Linked DNA regions of Ovis aries. Each later gene encodes a partner of the first gene's protein in a complex. Links are inferred from orthologs where the notes say so. Each region holds a gene or a part of one and is shown in the gene's direction. Other genes may lie near its edges.

Region 1 (3,955 bases):
GAGTTAATGAATGACCATCATGTGTTTCAAGCTCTGCTTTGTTTCTTAGCTCTAGGGGAAAAAAATCTTTGGGACGTTTTCAGTCAAAACTTGTTCCTTCCTTAGGTCTCCATTCTGTCGGCAATGGAACTCATTTGGAACCTTTGTGAGATTCTTTTTATCGAAGTAGCCCCAGGTGAGCACAGAATGATCTTGTCACAGCGGCAGAGGTGTCCCCCTACCCTGTCCTGTGCTGTGCTGAGTGTTTTGTTGCCTAGAATGCTCTTTTCGTTGCTTTTCATCAATATAAGCATTGGGAGGTGTTACAGGATGCCTGAAGAAGCCTGTGTTTTTGTCAAGATACTGCAAAGAGTCAGAGTATCTTCTGAAAACCTTAGTTGTAGGCAGGTGACCCCTAAAAAATATGAAGAAACAGATATTAAACTAGTGTGCGAAAGGGGTGGTCCATATTTATACCATGGACTGGTGAAGCTTTAGAAAGTTTTAGAAGCTCGGGAGAGGTGTGTGCAGGTTCTTCAGCCTCCGAGGGAACCAGCCCTCCCAGCTCCAGAGACTTTTAGCCTCCTGAAACACAAGACAGTACATTTCTGTTGTTTAAAATTTTAAGAATGAAAAATGTTGTACGGATGTGAGGCAAGATTAGGTGGTGGAAGGCAGAATCCCTTAGAGAATTCCTTTGCTGGTGATTGGGTCAGGGGCAACCCTACAGCTTCATGCGTCCACTCTGAATTATTCCCTTGATCTTGAATTTGATTGTGGTCAGTACAGTATCCTGTGGGCAGTACAGTGGGCTCTCTGTGGAGGGGCTGTAGGCCTTTTTGCTTTCTTCTAATGGTTTGTATTTACTGTTGTCCATAAGTGTGTATTAGTAGTCTCTCTGTGGTCACAGCTTTTTATTCATAACTCCTGCTCAAGCACTGAGCAGCCTGAAATTGAATTGGTTGGTTGTCTGCTTGCCTCTTCCAGTAGATTCTGAGGACTGTTGCTGTCTTTCTATCACGTTTGTGTACCTGGCACCTAGTCAGTGCCATCCCCATATGGCCACTGCTGATGTCACCGAGTATTGCGTAGTTGTGAAGAAGCTGGGGGTGGTCGGGCTGGTGAGATCTGGGTCTCATGTTCAGCGCCCCCAACGATTCAGTGAAAGGTTGAGCTGCGTGGCACAGAGGAGGTGCCCACAGAAGTCCATTCGCTAGCTCAGCCCTGTTGTCAGGAGCACACGCCCGCTCACTGAAGAGGGACAGACCACTTCCACCATAGTTCGCTCGCCTGCCCTACATTCTCTGTACTTTGAGAAAGTGGAATCTACTGCTTATGTGTTTCCTCCCAGCTGGCCCTCTCCTCCTGTACCTCCTTGACTGGGTCCGACTGCATGTGTGCGAGGTGGACAATTTGTCAGCAGATGTTCTGGGCAGTGAGAATCCAAGCAAACACGAGAGCTTCTGGAACTTGGTAAGACCCTTGTGCGTGCTGGGCCTCCCTGCCTTCCTCCTCGTATTCTCTTTGGCCTGGGCCCCTGGGCTGGCCTGCGGGTTTCCCTGCTGAACCCGTGTGCGTGTTGTTCTTTGAGTCTGTGATCATGGAGATGTGCTTAGGGAGGCGTGCTTAGGGAGGTGTTTTCTTCCCTGCTCCATGGGAGAGTTTTGAACTAAGTTATCATGTAAGAAAAATAATGCTTTGTAGACTTCACAGTGAGAAGGGAATTTTGATCTGTTTGTGGATCTAAGAATGAGACTTGGTGAAGACAGTGCAAAGCCGATGGATAGGTGCTGGGGTAGGGGTTTGATGTCAGTGAGCTGAGGGCGGTTTTGAGGTGTTAGATGTGTTCTGAAGCTGAGTTGTGATGATAGTGCCCAACTCCATAAACTTACTCAAATTCACCGAATTAGACACTTAAACAGGTAAATGTTTATAAGGTGTACATTGCAATCAGTAAAGCTATTAAAAACAAAGACATTGATGATCCCAGTCATTTTGGATGGTCAGTTTGAAAGTTTGTGTGTGTGTGTGTATTCTATGTCTGGGAGAGCAGTACTTTTCCATTCACCTATACTGACCTATGACCCAGTATGGAGCGACCAGGGCGGAGGTTGCTGGTTGACTTGAATGTTGGAGACTTATATCATCTGAAATTCAGGTAAAGAGCTGCTGCCTTTAATGCTGTTTCTGAGGCCTTCGGGTGCTCCGAGATCTGTGCAGGTAAAGGGGAGAGCCTTTGTTCAGAAATGGTTGGGCCTAGGGTTTAAGTGTGTGATTCATTCACTGTGTATTTGAGTGGTGCTGTGTGCAGGCCCTGAGGAAACAACCAGGACCAAAGCAGGCAGTGGTTCCTACCCTTACGGAACTTGCATTCTGGGTGGGGAGACCGGAAATAAATATAGAAGCAAGTAAAATATGTGTAAAAGCGAAGCGCTCTGGAGAGAAAGAGCAAGAGAGGGGAATTGGGAGTATTAAAGTCGAGGAAGGGCACCCTTGTGAGGTGACGTGTGAGTAGGAACCTGAGGAGGTGACGAGGAGTGAGGGCTCAGCTCCTAGAGAGGCAGTGTGGTGGTGATGCTTAGTCACTTGGTCCTGTCTGACTCTTGGGACCCTGTGGGCTATAGCCCACCAGGTTCCTTTGTCCATGGGATTTTCCAGGCGAGGATTCTGGAATGGGTTGCTGTTTCCTTCTCCAGGGGATCCTCCCTACCCCGGGATCAAACCTGCATCTTCTCATTGGCAGGAGGATTCTTTACCACTGAGCCACCAGGAAAGCCCCAGAGAGGCAGGGTAGTTGAATGCTAAGAACAGGGTCTGTGGTGCCAAGCTGGCCAGGTTAGCATCCCAGCTCTGCCTCTTACCATCTGTGAGCTCTAGTGAGTCACTTGACTGCCTTTAGTTTCTTCGTGTGTGGCCTGGAGAGTGTGACACCTGTCCCACAGAGCTGTTCTGATTCGGTTAGCTGAAGGAGATAAAGGTATGACCTGGCTGATGGACACAGTAGAGCTCCCGTTCTACTCCTGAGTCAGCTGGGGTACAGAGGACATTAGAGAGTCAAACACAGGAACACTGTGATCTGACTTAGAGTTCCTTTTCTTTTAAAAAATACTTATTTGGCTGTGCTGGGTCTTAGTTGTGGCATGCAGGCTCTTTAGTTGCAGCATGTGATCTCTTAATTGCGGCGTGTGGGATCTAGTTCCCTGACCAGGGATGGAACCCAGGCTTCCTGCATTGGGAGCACTGAGTCTTAGCCACTGGACCAGCAGGGAAGTCCCTGATTTAGGTTTTCAAAGGCTTTTCTGGCTGCACTGCTGAGAATAGAGCAAAAGCAGAACGGAGAGACCAGCCTGGAGGCTCAGGTCCTAAATCAGGCAGCTGTGGTGGTAACTTGGACCCGGGTAGGAGCTGAGTGGAGGAGGTGGTAAGAAGTGATTTGATTCTGGATGCAGTTTAAAGGTACAGTGATAGGATTCGCTAATGAATTGGATGTGTAAGAAAGAGAAGAATGTGGGTTGGTGGGTTGGAAGCGACCCGGTGTTCATTTCGAGGCATGTTAAGGTGCCTGTGAACCAAGTGGAGCCATTGGCAACAGGATGTGCGTGTTTGGAATCAGGGAAAGGGACTGGGACTGGGCAGCATGTGTTTCCTTGGCTTGCTTCTTCTTCCTTTTCTTTTGCCGTGGCTAGCAGGATCTTAGTTCCCCAACCAGGAATTGAACCCAGGCCATAAAATAGCATGCAAAAACCTGAACCAAATTTGGCTAACCCAGTATTTGAACTAGAACTTTTTCTTTTAACTGAAACTTTTACAGATCAGTGCTTTATTTGATGCACTTTGGTAATTTTTATTTTCTGTTTCATTTTTAAAAAGTCAGTCACCTGCAGTGCGATACAACAACACGCAGTTTGAAAAGCATGGTACGGGTTGAAACTAGAAGGTTGGATGAATTAAATTACCTCTGACGGAGAAACCATCA
Region 2 (3,955 bases), on another chromosome or scaffold:
TTCCAGAAGGAATAGAATGCAGTACATTGTGAAAGCAATAAGATGATGTGAAAAATAGGTCAGCCCTCCAAATGCTAGATTTCTGAAACACCTACACTTGATCAGTGTGATTAGCCTTGTAAGGAAATAAACCAGGAAATGATCTGTTTATTTGTTTACAAAACTGTGAGGTCACAGACTTAAGTAGGGCAGCCTGAGTGTTGTGTCAGGGGCAGGGGTAGAATGTGTTTAAAATTCAGTAAACAGAATTTAATACATGATATTGTACAGCGTGGAGAAAGTCTTTGTCCCTAACCTGAGGAACCTCAGAGCATAGATGTGGTAAGACAGAGGTGAAAATTGATCTTCCCAACACTGGCAGGGGCAGATTCTGTGCCCTGGAGCCCTTGTCCCTGGGGCAGCCTGGCCCCTTTCTAAGAGGTTTCAGAGTGCACTCCCTTGTTGCTAAATTCATGTTCCTCCCCAAGTGAGAGAATGGCTTGACTTGACAGCATGAACGTTCTGCTCGGCTTGACAGTTGGAATACTCTTGTCTAATTAATACGTTGACTTTTTAAAAAGTGCGTGAGGCTAACAAGAAAAGCCAGGCTTTCTTCTCCTTTAAACAACCCCATGGATTTTCTGTTTATACTTAATGTCCTTTTTTAAGTTTCCTTTCTTCGGAGTTCTGATTCTTAAATCTATATGGTTTGCTGGCACGTCTCTCTTTTAGACCCTTCTCCAAATATTATCTGGAACCCCACTGAAATGCCTTTTAAAAATATATGTTGAGCTAATGACCTTGTCACCAGAAAGAAAGGGACCATTGTCCTTTTCTCCTTTTAATTCTTTTGGGTAGGGGACCCCCTGCTGCCAAGTCATGTGCTGTCCTCTGTTTCTTGACGGCACTCTGAAGACATGCTTATTTTTTAAATTGACTAGTTTGTTTTTTGGCTATGCTAGGTCTTCATTGCTGCACACAGGCTGTCTCTAGTTGTGGACAGTGGGAGCTACTTTCTAGTTGTGCTCGGGCTTCTCACTGAGGTGGCTCCTCTTGTTACGGAGCACAGGTTTCGTTGCTCCATGGCACATGGAATCTTCTCGGACCAGGAATCGAACCCTTGTCTCCTGCATTGGCTGGTGGATTTTAAATGACTGGACCACCAAAAAAGTCCCTCTTAGTAACGTCTTGCTGTTTCTTTCCCACTAGTGGTTCTTCATTTTATTATTTTCACTGTTACAGTCCTTTTTCTTTCTTTCCAGTAGAAATTTCTTTTATTTGAACCGTTCTTATACAGTTCTTTCCTCCTTGGTCTAAACAGGCGCCTGCTTGTGCCAGAACGAGAGACACTATTTAATACTCTTGCCAACAACCGGGAAATCATCAACCAACAGAGGAAGAGGCTGAATCACCTGGTGGATAGTCTCCAGCAGCTCCGACTTTACAACCAGACCTCCCATTGGAGCCTTCCCTTGGATGTTCCCTCCCAGAGCACCACACACAGGTGTGCAGGAGAACACGTCTGTTAATGCCACGTGCACTTAGTAAATGAGGCGGGATGAGCGAATAAATACACAGAGCAAAGTGGACTAGTCACAGAGTAGTTGAGATGTGGGTTTGAAAGTGACTCTGCTGTTCTTTCATCTTTGTGATCGTGGTCAGATTCCTCACCCTCTCTGATCCTTTTTCCTTCTGCCAAAAAGTGGGGCTAACAATAGCCTTCTCAAGTAGCTCAATGGTAAAGAATCCCCCTGCCAATGCAGGAGACGCAGGTTTGATCCCTGAGTCAAGAAGAGCCCCTGAAAAAGGAAATGGCAACCGACTCCAGTATTCTTGCCTGGACAATCCCATGGGCAGAGGAGCCTGCCAGACTACAGTCTGTGGGATTGCGAAAGAGCTGGGCATGACTGAGCATGCGTGCACGCAGGGAACTAACAATGTGCACCTCATGGGGTTACTGGAGGGTTTAAGTCTTTAAAGTACCTAGCAGTGTGCCTGATGGAACAGGCCCTCGATAGATAATAGCTGGTACTGTAGTCATAGCATTATTGTTCAATTGAAAATTAGCTGTCAGGATTAGGTTGATCAACTTGTCTGGAAACTCAGAGTTGTCATTTTGCAAGTGTGGAGATTTCAGACCCTGCCTTAGACAGTTTACCCCTAAAGTTACCAAAGTGGTAACTGCCTTTAGCCTGAATGTATAGATTTTAATTGCCCTTCCTTCTGGAGCCCTGTTGGGGTTGTGTTTGCTCTGGGGTGGGATGTGATAGTGAGACTGATCATTTTCCTTTGGGGTTAATTCATTGTTTGGTCAGATTTTCCATTTCCTTTTCAGGATGCTCTTATCTCTTGCCTTTGTATTTGGGAGGATAATGTACCATCACCATTACCATGAGTCCCAATTTCTCAGGTCATAGTTGGTTCATACGTAACATTGTCCTCTTTCAGTTTTGACAGTGACCTCGAAAGCCTGCGCAATGCTTTGTTGAAAACGACTCTAGAGTCTCACCCCAAACCGTTGCCTAAAGTACCAGGTAAATGCATTCTCCCCAGTCTTTAAACTCTGTTCTCTTTCATCTATTGACCTTAAAAACCAAGTTTTAAGCATTTATGGGTTCACGAATTTCTTGCAGCTAAACTGTCCCCCGTGAAACAGGCACAACTGAGAAATTTCTTGGCCAAAAGGAAGACCCCCCCAGTGAGATCCACTGCTCCAGGTAGAGGAACCCGGTCCTGAATTTTTAGGATAAACTGTATAGTACATTGTGTGGGAGTAGGATGGGGTTTGTGTGTGTGTGTGTCTGTGTGTGTTTTCCTTTGGTTCTTAATGGGAGATAGAGGAAGTGTCTCTAGAATCTGTCATCCGTCTGAATATGGGATTAAGAAGAAGCTTATGCATAGTCAACTCGAGGTGGTAGTTTCGGCTTTCACACTGTGTTTTCCATAGTCCTCAGGTTCTATGGCAGTGATTGCCAAGGATTTGGGGGGACGCTGAACTGGTTCCAGGGGTCCTAGCCTTCGCTTTAGCTGGGAAAGCTTTACTTTTCTGATTTGTGTCGGATTTTGAGTAAGGCTGCATTTGAAAAAAGACCTGCTCAGCAGGCACGCGTGACTAGTGGCTACTCTGATGAGAGATGCAGACATAGAACGTGCAGGCGCAGGTAGTTATGAATGGACTCTGAGGGACTGTGCTGCACACTGACTTGCCTCGGAACACTTTGGTACAGTGCTGCCCGGTAGAACTTCCTGCCGTGGTTGTGGTGTTGGATCTGTACTGTCCAATACAGCAGTTAACTGGTGGCCATTGGGTGCTTTAAGGGGGATGGTACAACTTAGAGGTCAAATTTTTCATTTGTTTTTCATCTGAATAACCATACATGGCTGGTGGCTACCAAACTGACATTGCCACCTAGCAGTAGCCCTAGTACAGCGTTTTTTAATTTAAAAAATTCTTTTGGCTGTGGCTGCCAGGGAAGTCCCCATGCGTGGTTTTCACTTGCAATTGTTTATATTATGTTTGAAAAAAGTGAAAGCGTTAGTTGCTCAGTTGTGTTTGACTCTTTGCACCCCCATGAACCATACAGCGGACCAGGTTCCTCTGATCATGGAAGTCTCCAGGCAAGAGTACTGGAGTGGGTAGCCATTTCCTTCTCTAGGGGATCTTCCCGACCCAGGGATCGAACCTGGGTCTCCTGCGTTGCAGGCAGATTCCTTACTGAGTGAGTCACCAGGGAAGCCCATGTTACACTCGCATTATGATACATAAAATCTTGCAGAGTGATGCGCCCACAGGACACATAAGTCAGTAAGTATTAGCAATACTTTTAAATAACTTGAGGAGGCGAGGGGGCTGTTTTTTGCTTGGTTTTGGTGTTTCCAATACACAGACAGTAACATGACTTCTGAAATTCATGGTAGAAAGTAACATGGCATAAAGCCTTACCTTACAGTTTATGGAAGGAGCAAAACAGGGAAA
Region 3 (3,955 bases), on another chromosome or scaffold:
AGTCTGATTTGGTTTGAAAACTGAAAGAGAATTTTAAAATCTGTTTAGTTTCTGGAGTCCCATGCTGTCTCAAAACAATGATGAGAGTATGATCTTGGGGGTCTTCAATGGCAATCCAGTGGTTAAGACTCCGAGCTTCCAACACGGGGACGCATGTTCAATCCCTGGTCGGGGAGCAAAGATCCCACGTGCTGTATGACTCGGCCAGAAAAAAAAAAAAAAAAAAGAGTTTATGACCTTGAACAGACACTCAGATCCTGGGTGGTGATAGGTGACCACAGAGTTGAAACTAGTTCTCCAAGCTAGTGTTCTGTGCTACCTGGGTATGTGGTATCTAAACTTGAAAAGTAACATTTTAGATGTTTTCAGAACTTTTTTTTTTTCCTGCCTTTCTTGGGGATTGTAAAGTACATGTAATAGAAACTACTATCTTAACTGTTTTACATGTTTAGTAGTGCTAAGCACCTTCACCTGACCGTGTAGCCAGTCTCCAGAATTCTTTTCACCTTGCCAGACGGAAACTATACTCCTTAAACATCAGCTTCTCATTCCCTCCTTCCCCATCTCCTGGCAACCACCATTCCACTCTCTGTCAACAGATTTGGCTACCAGAATCCTCTAGCATTTGACTTTTCATGACTGGCCTATTTCACTTAGCATAACATCTTCAGATTCATCCATCTTGTAGCATCCATCAGAATTTACGATACTCTATTGTATGGATGTATTGATAACAATTTTGATGGAACCTTGGGTGTTTCCATCTTTTGTTTGTTATGAATAACACTCCAATGAACAGGGATATACAAATAATTCTTTAAGACTCTGCTTTCAGTTGGTTTTTTTAGGGGGAGGGGGTGGTTTATACACCCAAAAGTAGAATTGGTGAATTATAAACTAATTCTGATTTTTTGAAGAACTGTTTTCCTTAGTGGCTATACCAATTTATATTCCCTCCAGCACAACACAAGGGTTCCAATTTGTCCACATTCTTGGCAACATGTGATTTTTTGTTGTTTTAAGTTAAACTTGATTTTTTTTCTTAAATTTTAACATTTGGTAAATGTGACAGATTTTCTCTGTGTCTCTAAAGAGACACATGTTTGAAATCCTCGTATCTGTTATTGCCTCATAGCTGGCACAGTGATGTTTGAGTATGGAATGCGTCTTGGCAGAGAGGTTCGAACTATCCGGGGACTTGAGAAGCAAGGCAACTGTTATCTGGCTGCCATTAATTGCTTACGACTTATTCGCCCAGAATACGCGTGGATTGTTCAGCCAGCATCTGGTGCAGTGGTATGAAAATTTTGTATGCCGGAAGTTGGGGATAATTTAACTTATTTTGTTTGGTCTTTTGAAAATACCTCATTTTGCTTCATTTCATTTAAAACTTCCTCTGGGATATTTGTGAACTTAATCTATTTTTTGCAGTGATTCATTTGTCTTATGTTACTACCCCCTTTGGTTTCCAAGTTCAGAATTACTGTAGGAATAAGTATGGTTGTTTAGTTGCTAAGTGATGTCAGACTCTTTGCGATCCCATGGACTGCAGAATGCTTGGCTCCTCTGTCCTTTACTATCTCCCGGAGCTTGCTCAAACTCATGTCCATTGAGTCGGTGATGTCATCCTACCATCTCATCCTCTGTCGTCCCCTTCTCCTCTCACCTTCAATCTTTCCCAGCATCAGGGTCTTTTCAGTGAGTCAGCTCTTTGCATCAGGTAGCCAAAGTATTGGAGCTTCAACTTCACCATCAGTCCTTCCAATGAATATTCAGGGTTGGTTTCCTTTAGGATTGACTGGTTTGATCTCCTTGTAGTCCAAGGGACTCTCAAGAGTCTTCACCAACACCACAGTTCAAAATCATCAGATAATCTGAAACAATATTACAGAGTGGTTTTGGAATTAGACAGCCTGACTTCAGGCAAATTACTGTATCTTGTATTGTCCAGTTAGCCTCTTGCATAAAACAGGAATGATGATGATAATGATATCTACCTTACAGGATTATTTGGGTATTAAATGAGATAACCCATGTAAGATTGCGTAGAATAGTGACAGTGCCTGGCCTGCAGAAAGTGCTCAGTAAATGCTAGCTGTTTTTATTTCATTCATTTTTGTTAATTTAATGTATTGTTACTGTTTTAAAGGAGGTGAACCTTGAGTTTTAATAAGTATGTCATTTAATAAGTGAGGGTCATTTGTTTTATCATGCTGTTGGGGTACTCCCAGTTACTTGTATAGTTTCTGCATAGTTCTGTTTTCCAGGGTTATGAGTGAAGAATGTAATTTTGTAAACCGAAGAAGGTCAGATGGTTTATATGGACATCAAATCAGTGTCTTTGGACTCAGTACAATTTTAGCTAAGTGAGCCGTGTTTCTTTGTCTAGAGGTTCCAGTAACTTTGTGAGAAGAGCTGTGCTAGTTGAAATAGACATAATTTACGCTGGGAAAATTTAAGCATGAAAGCCCTGGATCACAGTTAATGATGTTAAAATAAAATACTGATTTTTCACAGTTAAATCTCTTGCTTTGTCTTTTCAGTATGACCGCCCTGGAGCATCCCCTAAAAGGAATCATGATGGAGAATGCACAGCTGCCCCAAGTGAGTCGGGGATCTCAGGCTGACTTTCACTGAATGGCACTTAATTGTTACACTAGTTGTATTTATATTTACTTGTTTTTTATATGGTACTTATTATAGTATGAACAATCATAGTATAGTATACTGTATATGTATGGTAGTTACTTTGTTAACATATGGTAAAATATCTTATCAGTATTCTGTCTGGCTGCCCTTCGAAAACTTTGTATGCCTGTGTGTGAAATGAAAATCCTTAAAAAGGGGTGTGTGTGTGTTTGTTGCTTGTCGTGTTCAAGTCAGCTTAGTATACTTTTTTAAATTAGGTTCCTTTAGTGTCTCTATAGAGGCATGATTTCCCTTCTCTTTTTTTCCTTTTCTCCGTGATGGTGCCTCGAGGCAAGTAGTCTCTGAGTTTTCCAACCAGGGGTTGAACCCCCATCCCCCGCAGTGGGAGCAGAGTCTTGGACCACGATTCCCTTCCTTAAAGAGCCCGGGCTCTAGAGTTGGACACACTCGGCTTTAATCCTGCCTCTCACTTTGGGCATGTTCCTTACTGATAAAGATGACAGTATTTCACAGTTGTAAGAGTTAATTCCTTGCAAGCGCCTCCCTGAAGCTGTTATTAGAATGCTTTGACTTGACTCGGCTCTAGAGTGAAGCAGGGTTGTTTGTTTTATTGAGCCCCTTGTTTTCACCATATCTTCCTAAAATTAAACGGACAGTGACTTAGTGTTTAGTGGAAGCTGACGGGTTGCGTTTGTCTAACAGGCACTTCCTTTGTGCTCTGGGAATTGACAGTGTTTTCCTTTGGCTTATAGCGAATAGACAGATTGAAATCCTGGAACTGGAAGATCTGGAGAAGGAGTGCTCCTTGGCCCGCATTCGCCTCACCCTGGCTCAGCACGACCCCTCGGCGGCTGCTGTCGCAGGTGGGCATTCGGCACCAACAGTGCGTTTCAGGCCCGGGCAGCAGACATAGTGTGCCATGTGGGTGTGGAGTGTGTCGTCGTTATTCTGGGCATTCACCAAGGGCACGGTCTTTGGGTTCAGTTCACTGGCATGTCCAGTGGTTGCAATAAATAGCTCGTTTCCACTTCCACAGGAAGTTCATCCGCAGAGGAGATGGTCACTCTCCTGGTTCAGGCTGGCCTTTTTGACACTGCTGTATCACTGTGTCAGACTTTCAAGCTTCCCTTAACGCCAGTCTTTGAAGGACTTGCTTTCAAGTATGTATAAAATTGCTTTTCTATAGTCTTAACTTCCTAACATAGTCTGATTTCCTAGTCTTAAATTTCTAAAATATTCTTAATTTTCTATTTACTTCACTGTTGCTTAGTATGAAGCAGTGATCACACAAGCCAACTTATAAGCC
Region 4 (4,626 bases), on another chromosome or scaffold:
TGACTACTGGAAAAACCATAGCCTTGACTAGACAGACGTTTGTTGACAAAGTAATGTCTCTGCTTCTTAATAGGCTGTCTAGGTTGGTCATAACTTTCCTTCCAAGGAGCAAGTGTCTTTTAATTTCATAGCTGCAGTCACCATCTGCAGTGATTTTGGAGCCCAGTAAAATAAAGTCAGCCACTGTTTCCATTGTTTCCCCATCTATTTGCCACAAAGTGATGGGACTAGATGCCATGATCATAGTTTTCTGAATGCTGAGCTTTAAGCCAACTTTTTCACTCTCTTCTTTCACTTTCATCCGAGGCTTTTTAGTTCCTCTTCACTTCCTGCCATAAGGGTTGTGTCATCATTGTATCTGAGGTTATTGATATGTCTTCTGGCAATCTTGATTCCAGCTTGTATTTCATCCAGACCAGTGTTTCTCATGATGTACTCTGCATATAAGTTAAATAAGTCAGGTGACAATATACAGCCTTGACGTACTCCTTTCCTGATTTGGTACCAGTCTGTTGCTTCTTGACCTGCATACAGATTTCTCAGGAGGCAGGTTAGGTGGTCTGGTATTTCCATCTCTTTCAGAATTTTCTACAGTTTGTTGTGATCTGAAAGTCAAAGGCTTTGGCATAGTCAATAAAGTGGAAGTGGATGTTTTTACCATCTTTACTTACCCAAATTTAGCTCATCCTTCTAGGCTTAACATATATGCCATCTCCTTCAAGAAGTCTTTCTTATACCTTCTGTGTTCTCTCTCTTCTCTAAACGTGTACATGTATCTCTTTATATTTATGCCACAGTTTTATATATCAATATCTTCCCTCTTCTGTTACTGGACACCTACTCTCTGGCTATTTCATTCCTTTTTGAGATTTGCAGTTTAGCTCAGTACTTTGCGATTTTTCACAGCAAGATTCCATTTAATGCAACAAATATCTACGGAGCAGAGGCATCAGACATTTACAACGAATCATACATTGTTTTAGGCACTAGGAATAGTGTTAAATGAAGGATATAAGCCTTTTAAGATTAGTAGGAGAGATGAACAGTAAAGATATTAAATGTCCAAGTGAGCTTTAAGAGACTTCGTTTGGTGGTGAAGATAACATCATGAGTATAAGCAGCTTACAGCACTCGAAAATAAAGGACAAAAACGAACAAACCAGTTCAAAGGAGGAATAGGGGAGCAAATGGCCCTTAGGTACAGCTTCAACCTTAAATAGCCTAATAATCCAACTCAGTGATTATCAAAATATAATCCGCAGTATCTGCTTCAGAATCATTTGAAGTTTGTATAAAAAAATGCAGATTCACACCTACTAGAAATTAGAATGAGTGATATTTAAATCTGCGTTTTAAACACACTCCCCATGTACTCAAACCATCCAAAAATGTACAATACAGTAGAGTCAAGTTTCGCAGACACAGTTCGAAAGCCGCTCCCTCCTTCTAGCCGGAGGAGAGCCTGCGGCGTATCTCATCCCTTCCCTTTCCACCGGGTCTCCGGACACTGGGCCACATGCCACAGCCTTTCTGGTCAGAAGCATAGCTCGCCACCTCCCACCTGAGTCCTAGCTTCTCTAGGATTGGGGTGGGGCGTGGGGGTGGGGCGGAAAGCAACAGGCCAATCTACAGGGGGAGAGGCGTAGCAGGGGATGCCGGCAGGGAGATCTATTTGATTGACGTGAAATAAGACCAATGAGAGCAGAGGACAAGTGACGCTTTCGCCTCAATGGGCAGGACGTTAGCGATTTCAACCAATCCAGCTCAGGAGTGTCTTGCTTTGTGGGAGGTTTTTGAGACCGCTGAGGGTCGTTGGCGTCTGTCGAACGGCTTGTGGAAGTCTTGCTGCTCTGGGTAGGGGGTTAAAATCGTTCTCGAGAGGAACGCCTCAGTCCGAAGAGAAAATGAGTTTAGCTCTGAGGTCGGTAATGAGGAGACGGCAGATGCACTCCACACCTCGCAGCGGGCCCCAGGGCGGTTGTGTGTGGAAGGGAAACAGCTGGGGGCCGAAGCGAGGAAGGGAATGCAGTTTGGGACGAGGGACGGGATCCTTGGTCAACGTTCCCGGGCCCAGACCCCTCCCCTTGGGGGCCCTGGTGAGCTCTGCACTTTAGCTGAGGCGGTCATTTCTGTCAGGGCACTGGCTTTAGACCGCCAAAAAGCCGGGCTGAGGTAGTCTTGAGGAGGCAGGGAAATATCGCGAGGTTTCAATGCGCGGTGTTTATGCGAGAAACCGGGAAACCAGGCCTTGGAGCATCCCTTGGTTCAGTGCCTTGTCCACGGCTTCCATCTCGGCCGACTTTCTGCTAACATGCGTGCTCAGTCGTTTCAGTCGTGTCAGACTCTTTGTGACCCTATGGGCTGTAGCCCGCCAGGCTCCTCTGGGTGTGGGTTTCTCCAGGCAAGAGTACTGGAGAGGATTGCCCTGCCTTCCTCCAGGTGATCTTGCAAACCTGCGTCTCCTGCATTGCAGGTATATTCTTTACCCACTGAGCCACCTGGGAAGCCCCCTACTAACATATTTACCCGTAAATTTTGGAAACAACGCAAAACCTCTCCTCTTTCTCCTGGGGCCCTGCAAAAGGGTATAATCAGAGGCCCCTTTTAGTGATTTTAGTTGGTAATCTCTTAGCTTTCCTAAATTTTCTGATTTTACTTTTCATTCATTTCCAACCTCTAACCCACTGTTTGTTGCTCCCTCTCCCAACCACAACTAAAAGTTTTACCTTAAAAGTGTTTATGTAGTTACGCTTCAGTAAAAAGGAAGCGAGTTCTGACGAGGAAATGAGGTCTACTGTCGGTGGGTTGTGAACTTTGGTCTGGTCGGAATCTTGGGAAGAGAATAACCCCCGGAGTTTCCAAGTTTTTGTGAATTCAGGTCTCTTGTGAAAGAAAGAGCTTTATCATAACCTCATTTGGTCATTTTCTAGTCATCTCTTGCCTTTTTAGAGTAGATTTCACAGAATTAAAGAAAAGTCAACTGGTTTTTACATTTTTAAAGTTTATAGAATTCTTGTTTCAAAGCTTGTACAAGTGTTGTAAGCCCCATATGAAAATTTGAAATGCTTATATTGGCACCTCTTAAGGAATACATTTCTAGTTTTTAGAGTAAATTACGTTTTGTACTTTAAGTTTTTTCAGAGTTTGTGACAAACTGTCTAGATGTACATGCTGAGATTTATGAGACAGTTGACTCTTCACCTTATATATAAATAAAATACCACAAATATTAAGTACTTTTTTGGTGTTTGATATTCGTGGTATGCTTACGTTCATTATTTTGGCTGATTTGTTAATATCAATGGGAGAAATTACAAAAAAGTGCCAGTTTAAAATGTGTAGTCTAAAAATACTAGTCTAAACTGTGCCAAAATAGTTTGTAAATTAATTGATGAATTAGATTTTTTGGCAATAATTTTGATAATTCTAAGCACTATGAAAGTAAACCTAATATATAGAGATCAACAATTGTGAATTGAATTCTTATTTTTTAAAACAGTCTGTATTGTAGAATGATGAGAATAAGTATGGGTGTTTGTTTTTTGTTGGGGTTTCTGACAGAACTGTTTCTTTTTCACAGTTCTTGTTTCTTCCACAGTAATATTAGTGGGAATGAATACAAAGCTAGGAAGAGGAAAAGCTAGGTCCTCATTTCTTTTAATAACCTTTTAAAACTGTAAAACTTTTCAGTTTTAGGGAGGTACAAATTTAAAGCAGCTTAGACAATGGATTGAGCAGGGCTTTGATTCATGTAAGGAAATTTTTTATAAAATACTTTTTAGAAGTTTAAAACATTCATTGGCTAATTTTTTTGTTGCATTTTTGGAATTTTATCATTTAGAAGCATATGACAATAGGATTAAAGTGGACTAAATAGACTTTTTTCTTATCATTCCATAGAAATGACCTTGTAGTAGACAAAACAAAGAGGAAAAAAAGAAGAGAACTCTCTGAAGAACAGAAACAAGAAATTAAAGATGCTTTTGAACTATTTGACACAGACAAAGATGAAGCAATAGATTATCATGAATTAAAGGTAATACACTTAAAATATATCTTTTCTATTAAAACATTTTGCATTTTTGTCCACTGATTAAAAATGCATTTCTAAATATTTTAATTGAACTGGTTTTGGAAATGTAAACCATTTTAAACATTTACTGTTAAGCTAAGCTGAGTCACTTCAGTCGTGTCCGACTCTGTGTGACCCCATAGACAGCAGCCCACCAGGCTGCCCCATCCCTGGGATTCTCCAGGCAAGAACACTGGAGTGGGTTGTCATTTCCTTCTCTAATGCATGAAAGTGAAAAGTGAAAGTGAAGTTGCTCAGTTGTGTCCGACTCTTAGCGACCCCATGAACTGTAGCTCACCAGGCTCCTCCATCCATGGGATTTTCCAGGCAAGAGTACTGGAGTGGGGTGCCATTGCCTTCTCCAAAAGTTGAGTAGTACTTGTATCTTTTTAGAAACTCCTTTTCACATGGTAAAATGAATAATATTTTAAATGTAAAAATATATTCCTATAGAGGGGCTTATTTTTCATTCACATAATTAAAATATTTGAAACTGAAGGATTTAAACAGTCTAACCATATTCCTCTTCCTATTGTATGTTTTTTTTTTGTTTT
Region 5 (4,419 bases), on another chromosome or scaffold:
CCACAATGAAGTGGAAATACTTTCGAGCGATGGTGGGGGCTTGGTGCTTCTTGGACTCGGAAGATGACCGCTTGGCATTCTGGTACAGAACCACCAGGCAGGCCGCGGTGGCCAGCAGACACCAATAAACTAGGAGGTAGACTCGGGTCTCTGTCTGGAAGAGGAACTGAAAAAGCCACAGCAGGGGGTTCCTGCGGATGAGGCGGTGCAGCCAGGGCAGGACGACGCCAAGGCCCAGGACGCAGGTCATGAGGTGGAAGAAGATGGAAGAGGCCCAGGTGCCCGAGTCCATGAATACAAAGAGGGTGCTGAAGAAGATGCCCATGAGCACCATGCCTACCACTACCACGAGCAGGAAGAAGTCCAAGGGGTCCCCCTGGCTTTCCACCACAGTGAGAGAGCGCTTGATGAGCTGGTTGAGCATGAAGCTGATGCCACCCAGGACCAGCAGCGCCTCTCCAGGGGTGAAGCAGCGAGGCAGCAGGTACAACAGGATCATGTTGAGGTACACAAAGATCAGCAGGGCCTCCAGGACCTCGATCACCTCGCCAACACTCAGCGAGTGCTTCATGATGTAAATGATGACGCCTCCAGCCAAGCCAGAGATGACGCAGGTGTTGGTGGGCACCGGGCGAGTGATGCCCAAGGCCAATACTGAGGAGAAGAGGGCCACTGCCATGCCCGTGGCTGCCACCACAATTCCGAACCGCTCGAAATATGGGTTCCCCGCAGCCTGGCAGCGCTCCTTCATAACCAGTCCTAGCAAAGGCATGACCACCGAAGCGGGCAGTAGGCCGCTGTTCGCGGACATTCGGAACTGAAAGACCGCGCTTCCCTGCTGTAGGAGCCGGTCCCATTTGTACTGAACGTAGAAGGCCTGCACCGCGAGGGCCACGGCGCACCACGAGTATCGATCCCACACGGCTGCGTGGATGCTCAGCACCACTACGAACACCACCGCCGCCTCTGCCAGCACGGAGCCACTCAGCGGAGCCCCGGACCCAGGGGTCGGGGGAGCGCACTCTCGGGTCATGTCTCTAGACTCCGGACCCACGGAAAACCGGGGTGACTAGGGATGCCTTGGACTCTGGCCCTTTAACCCCCGCCCGGCAGACAGCGGTAGCTTCGCCTTGCCAGCACCTTCTTTCTCCGTTCTTCAGCTTCCTCCAGAAAGGAAGCTCCACTGTAGGCCACTCTATGCTGCCTGGGAGTCGGCGTCAGGCTTTCCTCCACCAGTTCCCACTCACGGCGTAGACGTCTCCCCTCTGCCACCTCCCTCACAGCCTCGGCCGCGCTTGCCTGGGGTTCCTCACCTCTCCCGGCAACGCCATGTTGGCCCCGCCCCCGCACCCACGTGACGAAAACCCGGTCCACGCCCTGGAAGCGCGCGGTCACGTGGGCGTGGCGTCTGGGGGCGGGGCTGGGGGCGCGCGCGCGCGCGAAGATGGCGGCTGCCGCCGGCGGTCCGTGTGTGAGGTGCGGAGCGGGCCGAGTCGGCGGGGATGACTGAGGCGCGGGGTCCAAACCAAGCGCAAGCCGGGGCGGGAGTTGAGGGCGAGATGTGGCGGCAGTGGCAGGATGAAGGCCGGCTAGGTGTACGGGCGCCGGGACGGGAGGCGGTTACGGCCAAACGGTCCCCGCGCGCGGGGATATGAGGCGACTTCTGTGAAAGGGGGGCCGGCGCCTCCCCCCTTCCCGAGGCGCCGGCCTCCCGTCTCCTCACCCGGCCCTTCTCCTTCCCTCCCCTCTCCCGGCGGCGCGTCCCTCGGCGCCCCCTCCCCCCCTCACCGCGCTTCCTGTCCGGTGTGACGCTCCCTCGAGGCGCGACGGGGAGCTTCGCGGTTGCCCGGGGGAGCCCCCACCCGGTCCCCGCCGCAGCCTCCCGTGCCCGGCGGGCTCTCCCCCGGTTCCGCCATGTGCTCTTGCCGGGAGGTCTGTTTCGCGAGTGGCGGAACCACCTCCTTGCGGTTTCTGCCCTTTTCCGCCGCTCTTTCATTCATCCATCTAGTTGTTTTCTCTTGCACTGATTCCTTCAGTCGGCATCCCGGGCGCTGTTACTGGGCTTTAAAAGGGCAGGAAGAGAAAATATTAAAAAGACAGTTCTTACTAGCGTACTAGCGCCAAACCCTGGCGACGCGCTTTCTGGTTCTCCGCGTTATCTCCTTGAACTCCCACAACTCTGGGGAGGCACCTTGTAATTTACAGATGACTCACAAACCCAGCTCCCAGCTGGAGTGTCCCACTCGGAAGCTTTAGCCGGATCGCCGCACTTGCATCTCTCACTTGTAGCTTCAAAGTGTTCTCCATTCTCCCTTCCACCCGTCCCGCCCAACCGCGCCTGCCACTTTTTTTTCCCCCTTGTTCCAGCAACGTCTCCCCACTTTTTTGTCCTCTTCACTTAACTGCTGTAGCCTCAACACCCAGAAGAGCAGTAATAGACTCTCAGTAAATGTTTATTCCACTTGTCGCTTCTTTCACCTCTCTGTTGAGTGAGATTTTCATCTGTGGAATGTCCATTGAACTGCTTCTGAACTTTGTGAGAACCGGTTTGCTTCTTCCTCCATCCGTTGTGTCATGTCAGCTCTTATGTCGGGCAGCATCGTGGTCACCGTGCTTTCTTTTTCTCAGGCTTATCTTACAGTCCTTGTGGATCTTGGGTAAAGTTTAGCTCCTGCAGGGCAAGGCGGCTTCTTTAATGAAAGGGATTTTTACTTCCGTGGTATTTCCAATCTCTTAGTTGCTTTCATCCAAAGGTTTCCAACCACGTGGATATCTCTGATTATTTCCTATTTCCACCTACTCCAGCTTTTAGAGAAGTGGAGTTCCATGTTGTCTGCTAGAACATTGGGCTGCAAGTCAATAAATTTTTTGAATCTCACTTTTGAGGCAAATTATTTAATTTCTGTGCCTTAGTTTGTACTTATCTCAAATTTATTTACTTGTTGTGCAAATAAATGACAGATACTGTAGCACTTATTTCATTTCTTGAAAGTATATGTAGATAATGTTACCCTGAGGCTTGAATTGGACATCACAATTCCAATCTTGTCTGTTGAGTCTTGAGAATCACCTGCTCAAACCTCCAGGTCTGTTTGAGGTGAAGTCTTCCTTCAATCCCTGGGTTAGTTCCTAGTGATCACTGTCTTCTCTGACTCTTTTCTGTCATTTGTGGTTATATTCCTTGTAGTGTCTAATTGTTAGGGTCCTGCCCTTTGGTACTTTCTACTTTTTAGCTGAATGTGTTATGTTTAACATCCTTTATCATTCCCAACACTAAGTTTATGAGTGTCGTGAAGGTCTTAGATTTATTTGGTTTCCGTTATTCCTAGATCATAAATGTGTAGGAATTGAGGAGCCAGTAACACTCATTTCTAGGATGATTTCCTTTCTGATAAGCTACAGTTTTCTCTTTTGTTCTGCCATGTCTTGGCACTTCTGCATGTAATTTTTTTTTCTAGTTTTTCTGTTCCAGTTAGTTTGCAGGTCTGAAAGGGACTTGGAGTTTTGTTTTTTTAAAATTGATTTGTTAGTTTTTGCTCTGCTGGTCTTCATTGCTTTTGTGTGGGCTTTTTTTTTTTTTTTTCAGTTGTGGTGAGCAGGGGCTACTCTTTGTTGTGGTGCGCAGGCTTCTCATTGAGGTGGCCTGCTGTGTGCCAGCCCCGGTATTAGAGTATGATATACCACTGTAGGACAGAAAACTTCACCTCAGTCTTTATCTGCTTGCAGAGTGAATTCCTGGGTACAACTTGACGCCCTGTCTTACAATGATTAAACTTTGGAGTCTTGCAAGCCTAGGTTCAAGCCCTGGTTCCATTAAATATTAGCTTTGTGGCCTTACAGAAGTTACTTAACCACTCTGAAACCTTAGTTTCCTGATGAGATGATACGGATAGTATTTGCCTCATAGGTCAGTTGAAATATTCAGTAAGACAAAGCATTAAAGACTTAGCACGGTCCCCCACATAACTGCTCAGTAAATGTTGGCTCATCTTGTTAGCCAGCTTGTTTTCAATAAACATTATTTTTGACACCTTATAACAAAAAGACCATGCTATGACTTGGTTTTGCAAATGAGAATATTTCTAAAGAAATAGCTATTTTCTTCTTTTAATTAGTAAGTATAAAAGTTACTGCATTACTTCAGTCTTGTTTTGTAGCAGAATCTTTTTCTCCCCTCTCCACCCCCCAAAAAAGCCGATTCGTCAGACATAAAAGGCAAAAAAAAAAATCTATACTGACCAGGTCTTTGACCTGCTCCTCTGAGACAAACTGATGCCCTCCAGCAGTGGTGATTTAGGAATTGATTTTAAAATGTAGATTTCCCAAGCCTAACCTCTGAGAAAGTGTGGTTCTGGGAATGACCAGGGTTCTGCAATGTTACTGTATTGTTTTCAGTTGATTTGGCTGTTTGGCCTGAGG
Region 6 (3,955 bases), on another chromosome or scaffold:
TGGTGAGAGGGGGCATCCTTGTCCTGTTCCTAATCTTAGAGGAAATACTTCCTGTTAAATATGTTCACAATGGGCTTGTCAAAATGGCCTTTATTTTGTCAAGGTATGTTCCATCTATGCCCACTTTCTGGAGAGTTTTTAACATAAATGGATGTTGAATTTTGTCAAAAATATTTTCTATTAAGATGATCATATTGTTTTATTCTTCAGTCTTTTGATGTGTATCACATTGATTTGTGGATATTGAACAATTATTGCATCTCTGGGTATCATGGTATATACTTTTAATGTATTGTTGGATTCAGTTTGCTAATACTTCGTTGAGGATTTTTGCATTGATGTTCATCATTGATACTGGCTTGTAATTCTCTTTTCCTGTGATATCTTTGTCTGATTTTGGTGTCAAGGTGATGCTAAGTCACCATTCTAATGACCATTCTAATGGAGATTCCCTCTAGCTTCCTCTTAAAGGAATCTGTTTCCTGAGTGTCACATCTTTTTCCTCCTTATGCCCTTGTTTTGGGAGAATACATCTTCCCATGATATCTTAAGGACACAGGGAAGAAAAGTTTGAGACCTTATATTTCTGGAAAGATCTTTATTCTGCCCCCATGTTGGGTAAGATTTTGTTTCAATATATATTTAGAATTGAAATTACTCTTTTTTTTTTTTTTTTTTTTTAATGATTTTGAGGGCATTTTCCCATTGTGGATGTTCTAGCTCCCAGAGTTAGTTGCTCTTGCAGTCTCTTTACTTTTGCTTTTGGTCTGTTTTTCCTTCTGGAGCATCATTAGAGTACTTTTTTGCCTCCAGTGCTTTGCTTATGAGGATGTTCCTGGTCTGGATCCATTTTATCCTTGGATGATGTTAGGAAGGCCGTGTGTCCTATTTATTATAAGCTGCTTTCATGGGAATTTTCTTGAATTATTTCTTTGGAGATTTTGCACCTCATTCTTTTTTATCTTCCATTTTTTTCCATTGTCTCCTACTTTTTGTTGTATTTCCTGGGAAGATTTCCTCAATTTTATCTTGAAACACACCTGCTGAGATTTTACTTCTGCATGTATTGCTTATTTTCTTAGTGGAAATTGTTCCATCGATGTTCTTTTTTATATCCTTCTGCTTTTGTTTTAGATGTGTTATCTATTGATCTCTTGAGGATATTAACAGTGAGTTTTTGTTTTGTTTTTCCGTTTGATAGCTTTTGCTTTGTTTTCTCCAAATTGCTTTTTTTATTATTGCTTCAGTCTTAGTGTTTCTTACGAAATACTTTCCTCAGATGTCTGGTGCTTCTTGCCTCTTACTCATAGTGTTTGGGTTTTGTTTATTTTAAATTGTAGTAATAATGTTTAACATGAGTTGTGTCTACTCATCAGCAGAGGCACAGGTATTGGTAACTGTAGGCACAGTGTTGTATGACAGAGTTCTAGAATCTGAGCATCTTGCATGACTGACAGTTTACACCTGCTCTGAACAGCGCCTCTTCATATCTCCCCACCCCCACCTCTCCCTGCAGCCCCTGTTCTTTCAGCTTGTGTGAATTTGGTTAGTTCAGATTCCTCATAGAAGTGAACTCATGCATTATTTCACTTAACGTCCTCCAGATGCGTCCATGTTTTTTTCAAATTGCAAGATTAATATTCCATTTTATGTGGACACGTCATTTCCTTTATCTGTGCGTCTGTCTGGGGATGTCTGGGTTGTTTCTACTTAGGTTATTGTGAATAATGCTGCAGTGAATAAGAGTCCAGATACCTTTTTGAGATCCTGGTTTCAAGTCTTTTGGGTAAATACCTAGAATGGGATTGCTAGATCATATGGTAGTTTTCTCTTTAACTTTTTGAGAAGCTTCCATACTGTTTTCCTTAGTGGCTGTGGCAATTTACTTTTCCACCAGCGGTTCACAAGGGTTCACTTTTCTCCACATCCTTGCCAGCACTTGCTATTTCTTATCGATAGCTGTTCTGAGAGATGATATCTCCTAGTGGATTTGATCTGCATTCCCCCTGATGATTGCTGAGGTCGAGCATCCTTATTATATATGCCCATGTGTTGTCTGTGGAGAAATCTCTGTTCAGGTTGTTTGCCCATTGGGCAAAGGGTTTAATTTTAATATCATTGTAGGTTTCTCTAACTGGCTTGTCCTCTTGCCAAGAGCTGAATGTTAGTATCTTTAGGTTTCCCCTTTTGGGCTGTCACATTCCGCAGAGAAGGTTCTTGAAGCCTCCTGTCTTAAGGGCATAAATCCTCGTGATTGCCAGTGTTTTGGGAGCTGAGTCAGGGCGGAAGGCTGCAGTTCTCAGCATTCGTTATACTCAGCCTGCTCCTAGTCCTTCTATTTTCAGTAGGTATCCTTGCCTCTGTGTGTGATGGGCCCCAGTCCAGAGGCCTCTCCAGAGACTAGAAGTCTGTACTTCTGCTAGGTAGAGGAGGAGAGTTCTCATCCTGTTTGTTGGGGAGGGATTGATATGGGTATCTGCTTCTTAAACAGTTACTGGAAAAAAAGAAAAGAAAAAAAACAAAAAAACAAGGCAGGATGGTAGAGTAACTGTTTAAGAAGCAGACTTCGTTCTCACTTCCAGAAGTACCTGGAACCTAAACCTTGTGGAGATGGTTAGTGTAAATGGAATGCCTTCTGTGCTTTCTCTTGCTACCAGTTTAGTATTTGGCTCCCATCGTGCTTCCAGCTTCTAAATTTTGTTCTGTTGTCTCTTTCTCTCCCTACCTTTGTAAATTCCCCTTACTGTGATTTTAACATAAGTTTTGGAAAAGGTAGCGCTCAATATGTTGGTTGCACAATCTCAGTCAGAAGTCACTCAGCCCTTTTTCCCCTTGGTCACGGGTGAGTTGGGTCGCTTGTTGGAGGGTGTCAGATATATATTTTGTCTGTAGAGAAATTACTTATTTTTTTTTAAGTGACCATAGGAGAACTTAACCCTTCACATGTTTTTGTATGTAAAAGTCAGAGTCATTACTAGAAAACCATCATTTTTACCTTAATGAGGTTTTTCTGCTTCAACGATTTCAGGTTCCATTTTCCAGTTTGGCAGCAGCACTGCGACAAATTTCAACTTCACCAACAACAATCCGTCAGGAGTGTTCACATTTGGTGCGAGTCCCAGCACACCTGCAGCCTCAGCCCAGCCCTCTGGCTCAGGCGGCTTTCAGTTTAGCCAGGCTTCAGCAGCGTTTACTGTGGGGTAAGAGAACTTTCTGTTGAGATATGTGCGTGTGTGTGTGTTTAGAATCATCAAGGTGCAGTATGCTGCTGCTAAGTCGCTTCAGTTGTGTCCGACTCTGTGCGACCCCACAGGCGGCAGCCCACCAGGCTCCCCCGTCCCTGGGATTCTCCAGGCAAGAACACTGGAGTGGGTTGCCATTTTCTTCTCCAATGCAGGAAAGTGAAAAGTGAAAGTGAAGTCGCTCAGTCGTGTCCGACTCTTAGCGACCCCATAGACTAGAGCCCACCAGGCTCCTGCGTCCATGGGATTTTCCAGGCAGGAGCACTGGAGTGGGGTGCCATTGCCTTCTCCAGGTGCAGTATAGTTGAGGTAAAATCAAGTATGTTCTCCACCAATTTACCGTATTACTATCAAGCAAAAGAGCATGGGGGGGGGTGTGGGGGTGGGGGTGTGGGTGTAGGTGTAGGTGTAGGTATGCAGTGTAACAGTGTGCTTCCTGTAACACTGTCTCCCCACCCCCCGTGTGTGTGTGTGTGTGTGTGTGTGTGTGTGTGTGTAGGTGTAGGTATGCGGTGTAACAGTGTGCTTCCTGTAACACTGTCTCCCCACCCCCCATCACCAGTCACACAGTGTTATGATTGTGAGATTTTATGTGAGCATCATGTCACGTTACAGAGTTTTTATTTTTCGCAGGTCAAATGGGAAAAACATGTTCTCTTCTTCTGGAACTTCGGTTTCTGGTCGAAAGATAAAGACTGCTGTTAGACGCAAGA
Region 7 (3,955 bases), on another chromosome or scaffold:
AGTAATTGATCTGAAAACCCACTCAGGACGTGGGCTGCTTAAGGGAAGATGAGAGCCTGGCTACTGGCCAGGCCAAGGCACATCTTCTTTGCTGGGCTTGAGCCTGAGGGCTGCAGATAGGACGTTAACCTCAGCCCCTTCCACGTCAGAGCACTGTGGAGAACCAGGCCGCTTGCGCAGCCCCACAGCGTTGTCACATGCAGTGTTGTTTCTGTGCAGAACATCTCCGACATGTGGGCCATGGTGAAACAAATGACAGATGTGTTGTTGGTGCCAGCGACTGACGCCCTGAAGAGCCGCAACAGCGTGGAAGTGCGCATGGAGTTTGTCAGGCAGGCCTTGGGGTACCTGGAGCAGAGGTGAGGCGGCGGCAGCACAGAGGCTGCCTTTAAAATCCCCTGAAGGTAGCCGTTCCCCTGTTTGAAGTGGTTCTCTAGATAAGTGCTCTGGAGCTGGTGTGATTTAAACAAGGTTGAGCAAGTCTGAGAGATGTTGCGCTGTTTTTAGGAGCACTTCTCTATGGGAACTGTCTCTGCACAGGTGTAAAATCACGTGAGTGGGAGCCCTGAGCCCTCTTAGGCTTTTCTCTCTGTCTTTCTCCACCCTGCGTCCCTCAGTATAGAGACAGGGTTATTAGGGCACAATGCCTTGGGTCAGGATCCTGGGCCCTCGTGGGGTTCAGCCATTACTCCTCAGGCTCTTGGTTTTCTCTCAACATTTTAATTTTCCCACCCGGCATTTTACCACCTCCAAACCCTAGGAAGGCCCCTTGAGCTTTTGTTTTCCTTCTGGCTCTGCTTGGTTAATCCTGTGAGTTCAGATCCTTCCAGCTGCTAAAGCCTCTGATTTGTGCCTAGGTTTCTGCCACCTCCTCACTAATTGGAGTCGGTCACAGGGGTTTGCGGCTGTACCCTTGTGCCTTGACTGTTGGCCCCGTAGTTGGTAGGGGCTGTGCCATTCATCCACGCCCTGTGGACACTCCTCCCAGCTCTGAATTGACCAGCAGGTGTTGTCATGAGTGTGCAGTAGACCCTCTTTATCTCAGAGACAGGGTGCTGGGCCTCTCTCTGTTGGCTGGAGAAGAGAAAGGCAGGCTGCATACACTTGCTCAATTGCAGCTCTTTGCCTCTGCACCCATGCAGCTGCCAGTGGCCTTGTTGTGTGGTCACCTTCTGTCAACAAAATAATACTCTGTTAGGAAGTCAAGGTAATTCAAGACTTGATACTGCAGAGAGAGAACAGATTTTTATATCAAATACTAAATTATTTAATAGCTACACAAGATGAACACCATCAGATATATTAAACTCACTAGCCTCCATTCTTTTGTTAAGAAAAATCTGAAACTGCAAATGGTGTTTCATTTTTTCTGGCACAGGCGCAAAGAGTTCATAAAGTATTACATCAGGCTTTCACTCAATTTTTATAATGTAAGTTTTGTTAAGTCTTCAGCCATGAAAAACCTAATATATATAGTGGTATTTATTTGCTACAAGTTAGCAAAATATGAATCAAAAAATTTCTCACAGTGTATAAACAATATTAGGGTGGTTTTTTTTAAGGATTAAGTATATGACTGCTTTTTCTTCAGTAAGCCTAATTCTCACTGTTGGTGTTTGACTTCACCAGAGATACCAGGTTGCAGTTTGGGATTTTATATATGTAAGCCATCCCAATTCTTCTATTATTCTTTTCATTTAGTTTTTTTAGGATGATCTTGTTCCATTAATTCCTTTAGCAGCACTTGGAGCTATTCGGGAGTTTCCTGTGCACAACTATTATATGCTTATTTTCTTTTTCTAACAGCATCTCTCTCTTGACATCTTTTTTAAGGATTTGTTGTCCCTTTTGATAAAGGGAATATTTCAGATAACTGTACTCACTTAAAAAAATATTTTTGCTGGTACTAATCCACTGAGAGGATAACATACAGTTTTGTTTTTTTTTTAAGATTTTTTTGATGTGGACCGTTTTAAACATCTTTATTGAATTTGTTATAGCATTGCTTCTGTTTCATGTTTTGGTTTTTTGGCCTCGAAGCATGTGGGGTCTTAGCTGCCCAACCAGGGATTGGTCCTGCACCTCTGTCGTTGGAAGGCAGAGTCTTCACCACTGGACCACCAGGGAAGTCCCAGTGTTTCAAGTGATGTAATACACCAGATGGCAAAGCAGGCCTGGCCCCAAATTATTTTTTGAGTATTTCAAATTTGAAGCAAGGTAGCATTTCTTAGCTCTCAAGGAAGTTAGGCCCTTTCCAGCATGTCGGTTGTCTTCATTCAAGCTGGAAGAGACCATAATGGGCATTGTTTGTCCCAGTTGCCACAGGGCTCTTATCTAATCTCTTTTCCAACCTCTGCTTTTAAATACTCCCAGTGATAGAGAACTCATATTTGTTAAATCAAATTATGTTTATTTTTCATCATAAAAATACTACATGATTATTATAGAAATTTTGAAAGATGCCAAAAAGAGGACCTGAAAAAAGGAGCAGCCCCCCCTCTCACATGCAGGGGCTCCTGGTACCTTGTTGTATTTCCTTACCGCCACCTCCACACCCAACCCCACCACCTTTCTGGGACATATGAATATTTTGTTTGATATTTATCTTTTACATAGCTTATGATCCCAGTGTGTACAATATATGGTTTTATATAGTTTGCTTGTAAAATTTTTTGTCAGTATCATTTTTTAAAACTACATCAATTTCTGATGAGTCTGTTTTCTGTAATTGACATTTAGATGTTTTTCTCTGAGAGGTGTGTGTGTGTGTCTCTCTCTCAGTCTGCTATTATACTTAATCTGATGTTGAACATTTTAGTGCATATGATGCACCTGAAAGTTTTTCATTTACAGATTAGGTGGCACCTGATTTCTGTATTTTTATAACATTTTCAAATAGTTCAGATAAAATGTATGTGTGAGAGAGGGAAGAGCATGCATGTAAATATTAACTGACGAATGTAAGTAAAGGGCAACTGAGCACTCGTCGAACTATTCTTTAATTTTTTGTAGCTTTAAAATTTTTCAAAGTAAAAAGTTTGAGAAGATCCACTAGAGCATTAGGCTGTGAGCGGAGCACTTATTTTTCTGCACAGCAGCCCCTTCTGCATTTGAAATTCACAATTATGTGGCTCCAGGAATTCTTTTGAGTATCCACAGTGATAAGAAGTCTTCACAGAGATCCACCACCCACCAAATCAATAATGTAGCTTGCTTCATTAAGCATGCACTTCTGTTTCGTCTTCTGTGTTCAGTTGAAGTCCAGGCCCTGCCATGTGGAGTTCACAGTCTAATGTTGTGGGTCTGGACACAGATACGTGTAAGATGTGTTTTCAAACTCGCCTCCCTTTTTTGTGCCTTCAAATTTTTTCCAGTTATAAGAATTACACCCTTGTGACTGTCTTTGGAAACTTGCATCAGGCCCAGCTGGGCGGAGTGCCAGGGACTTACCAACTGGTTCGAAGTTTCCTCAACATTAAACTTCCAGCTCCTTTGCCTGGACTTCAGGTACTGGCACCTTTATGCGATCAGTTACTCCTCCAGGTCAGTCTCTGAGATAGGCATTTTCAGCTGAAATGAGGTAATGTGTGGAAACTGCTGTATGAAGAAGAGACCAGAGGGGGCGGGAAGAGAACCTAGGAGACCTGGAAAGGCTGGTGGCTCAGGAGTCCAGGGGATGGCGGTGGAGGAGGAGGGTGCAGGGGGTTGATGTCATTGGTTTCTGGACGTGTTTTGAAAGTGGACCCAATGGGACGGTGGAAGAATTCGGCTATGGGTGTGAGCCACAGAGTCAGGGATGACTTCTGAGATTGTTGACTCAAATAGCTAGCACAACAGAGTTAGATATGGTTCCTAGAAAGTGCCTTTCTTCTCAGCTCACAGTTCAGATACCTGCTGTGTGCAGAGTGCTGAACCAGATCTGTGTACCGAGGGTGGTGGAATACACAGGAGGCTG

What was found.
Region 2: NUP85 (region 1) and NUP214 share a complex: the UniProt entries of both Homo sapiens proteins name them as parts of the nuclear pore complex. The link is inferred for Ovis aries from reciprocal best matches to the Homo sapiens genes NUP85 and NUP214.
Region 3: NUP85 (region 1) and NUP160 share a complex: the UniProt entries of both Homo sapiens proteins name them as parts of the nuclear pore complex. The link is inferred for Ovis aries from reciprocal best matches to the Homo sapiens genes NUP85 and NUP160.
Region 4: NUP85 (region 1) and CETN3 share a complex: the UniProt entries of both Homo sapiens proteins name them as parts of the nuclear pore complex. The link is inferred for Ovis aries from reciprocal best matches to the Homo sapiens genes NUP85 and CETN3.
Region 5: NUP85 (region 1) and NUP188 share a complex: the UniProt entries of both Homo sapiens proteins name them as parts of the nuclear pore complex. The link is inferred for Ovis aries from reciprocal best matches to the Homo sapiens genes NUP85 and NUP188.
Region 6: NUP85 (region 1) and NUP153 share a complex: the UniProt entries of both Homo sapiens proteins name them as parts of the nuclear pore complex. The link is inferred for Ovis aries from reciprocal best matches to the Homo sapiens genes NUP85 and NUP153.
Region 7: NUP85 (region 1) and NUP93 share a complex: the UniProt entries of both Homo sapiens proteins name them as parts of the nuclear pore complex. The link is inferred for Ovis aries from reciprocal best matches to the Homo sapiens genes NUP85 and NUP93.

What each region holds. Positions count from the first base shown.
Region 1 is NC_056064.1:55,594,558-55,598,512, reverse strand, and holds part of NUP85 (nuclear pore complex protein Nup85), read left to right. Parts: intron 1-105; coding exon 106-175; intron 176-1,330; coding exon 1,331-1,452; intron 1,453-3,955. UniProt on the Homo sapiens protein: Essential component of the nuclear pore complex (NPC) that seems to be required for NPC assembly and maintenance. As part of the NPC Nup107-160 subcomplex plays a role in RNA export and in tethering NUP96/Nup98 and NUP153 to the nucleus.
Region 2 is NC_056056.1:5,557,993-5,561,947, reverse strand, and holds part of NUP214 (nuclear pore complex protein Nup214), read left to right. Parts: intron 1-1,300; coding exon 1,301-1,483; intron 1,484-2,427; coding exon 2,428-2,513; intron 2,514-2,612; coding exon 2,613-2,696; intron 2,697-3,955. UniProt on the Homo sapiens protein: Part of the nuclear pore complex. Has a critical role in nucleocytoplasmic transport.
Region 3 is NC_056068.1:76,456,112-76,460,066, reverse strand, and holds part of NUP160 (nuclear pore complex protein Nup160), read left to right. Parts: intron 1-1,135; coding exon 1,136-1,296; intron 1,297-2,543; coding exon 2,544-2,604; intron 2,605-3,401; coding exon 3,402-3,512; intron 3,513-3,685; coding exon 3,686-3,809; intron 3,810-3,955. UniProt on the Homo sapiens protein: Functions as a component of the nuclear pore complex (NPC). Involved in poly(A)+ RNA transport.
Region 4 is NC_056058.1:87,599,783-87,604,408, reverse strand, and holds the start of CETN3 (centrin-3), read left to right. Parts: upstream 1-1,777; 5' UTR 1,778-1,904; coding exon 1,905-1,921; intron 1,922-3,900; coding exon 3,901-4,036; intron 4,037-4,626. UniProt on the Homo sapiens protein: Plays a fundamental role in microtubule-organizing center structure and function. As a component of the TREX-2 complex, involved in the export of mRNAs to the cytoplasm through the nuclear pores.
Region 5 is NC_056056.1:7,472,602-7,477,020, reverse strand, and holds the start of NUP188 (nucleoporin NUP188), read left to right. Parts: upstream 1-1,432; 5' UTR 1,433-1,444; coding exon 1,445-1,476; intron 1,477-4,419. Other genes in the region: DOLK (dolichol kinase), read right to left, coding at 1-1,033. UniProt on the Homo sapiens protein: Component of the nuclear pore complex (NPC), a complex required for the trafficking across the nuclear envelope. Required for proper protein transport into the nucleus.
Region 6 is NC_056073.1:39,077,257-39,081,211, forward strand, and holds part of NUP153 (nuclear pore complex protein Nup153), read left to right. Parts: intron 1-3,028; coding exon 3,029-3,200; intron 3,201-3,875; coding exon 3,876-3,955. UniProt on the Homo sapiens protein: Component of the nuclear pore complex (NPC), a complex required for the trafficking across the nuclear envelope. Functions as a scaffolding element in the nuclear phase of the NPC essential for normal nucleocytoplasmic transport of proteins and mRNAs.
Region 7 is NC_056067.1:24,469,056-24,473,010, forward strand, and holds part of NUP93 (nuclear pore complex protein Nup93), read left to right. Parts: intron 1-219; coding exon 220-359; intron 360-3,374; coding exon 3,375-3,507; intron 3,508-3,955. UniProt on the Homo sapiens protein: Plays a role in the nuclear pore complex (NPC) assembly and/or maintenance. May anchor nucleoporins, but not NUP153 and TPR, to the NPC. During renal development, regulates podocyte migration and proliferation through SMAD4 signaling.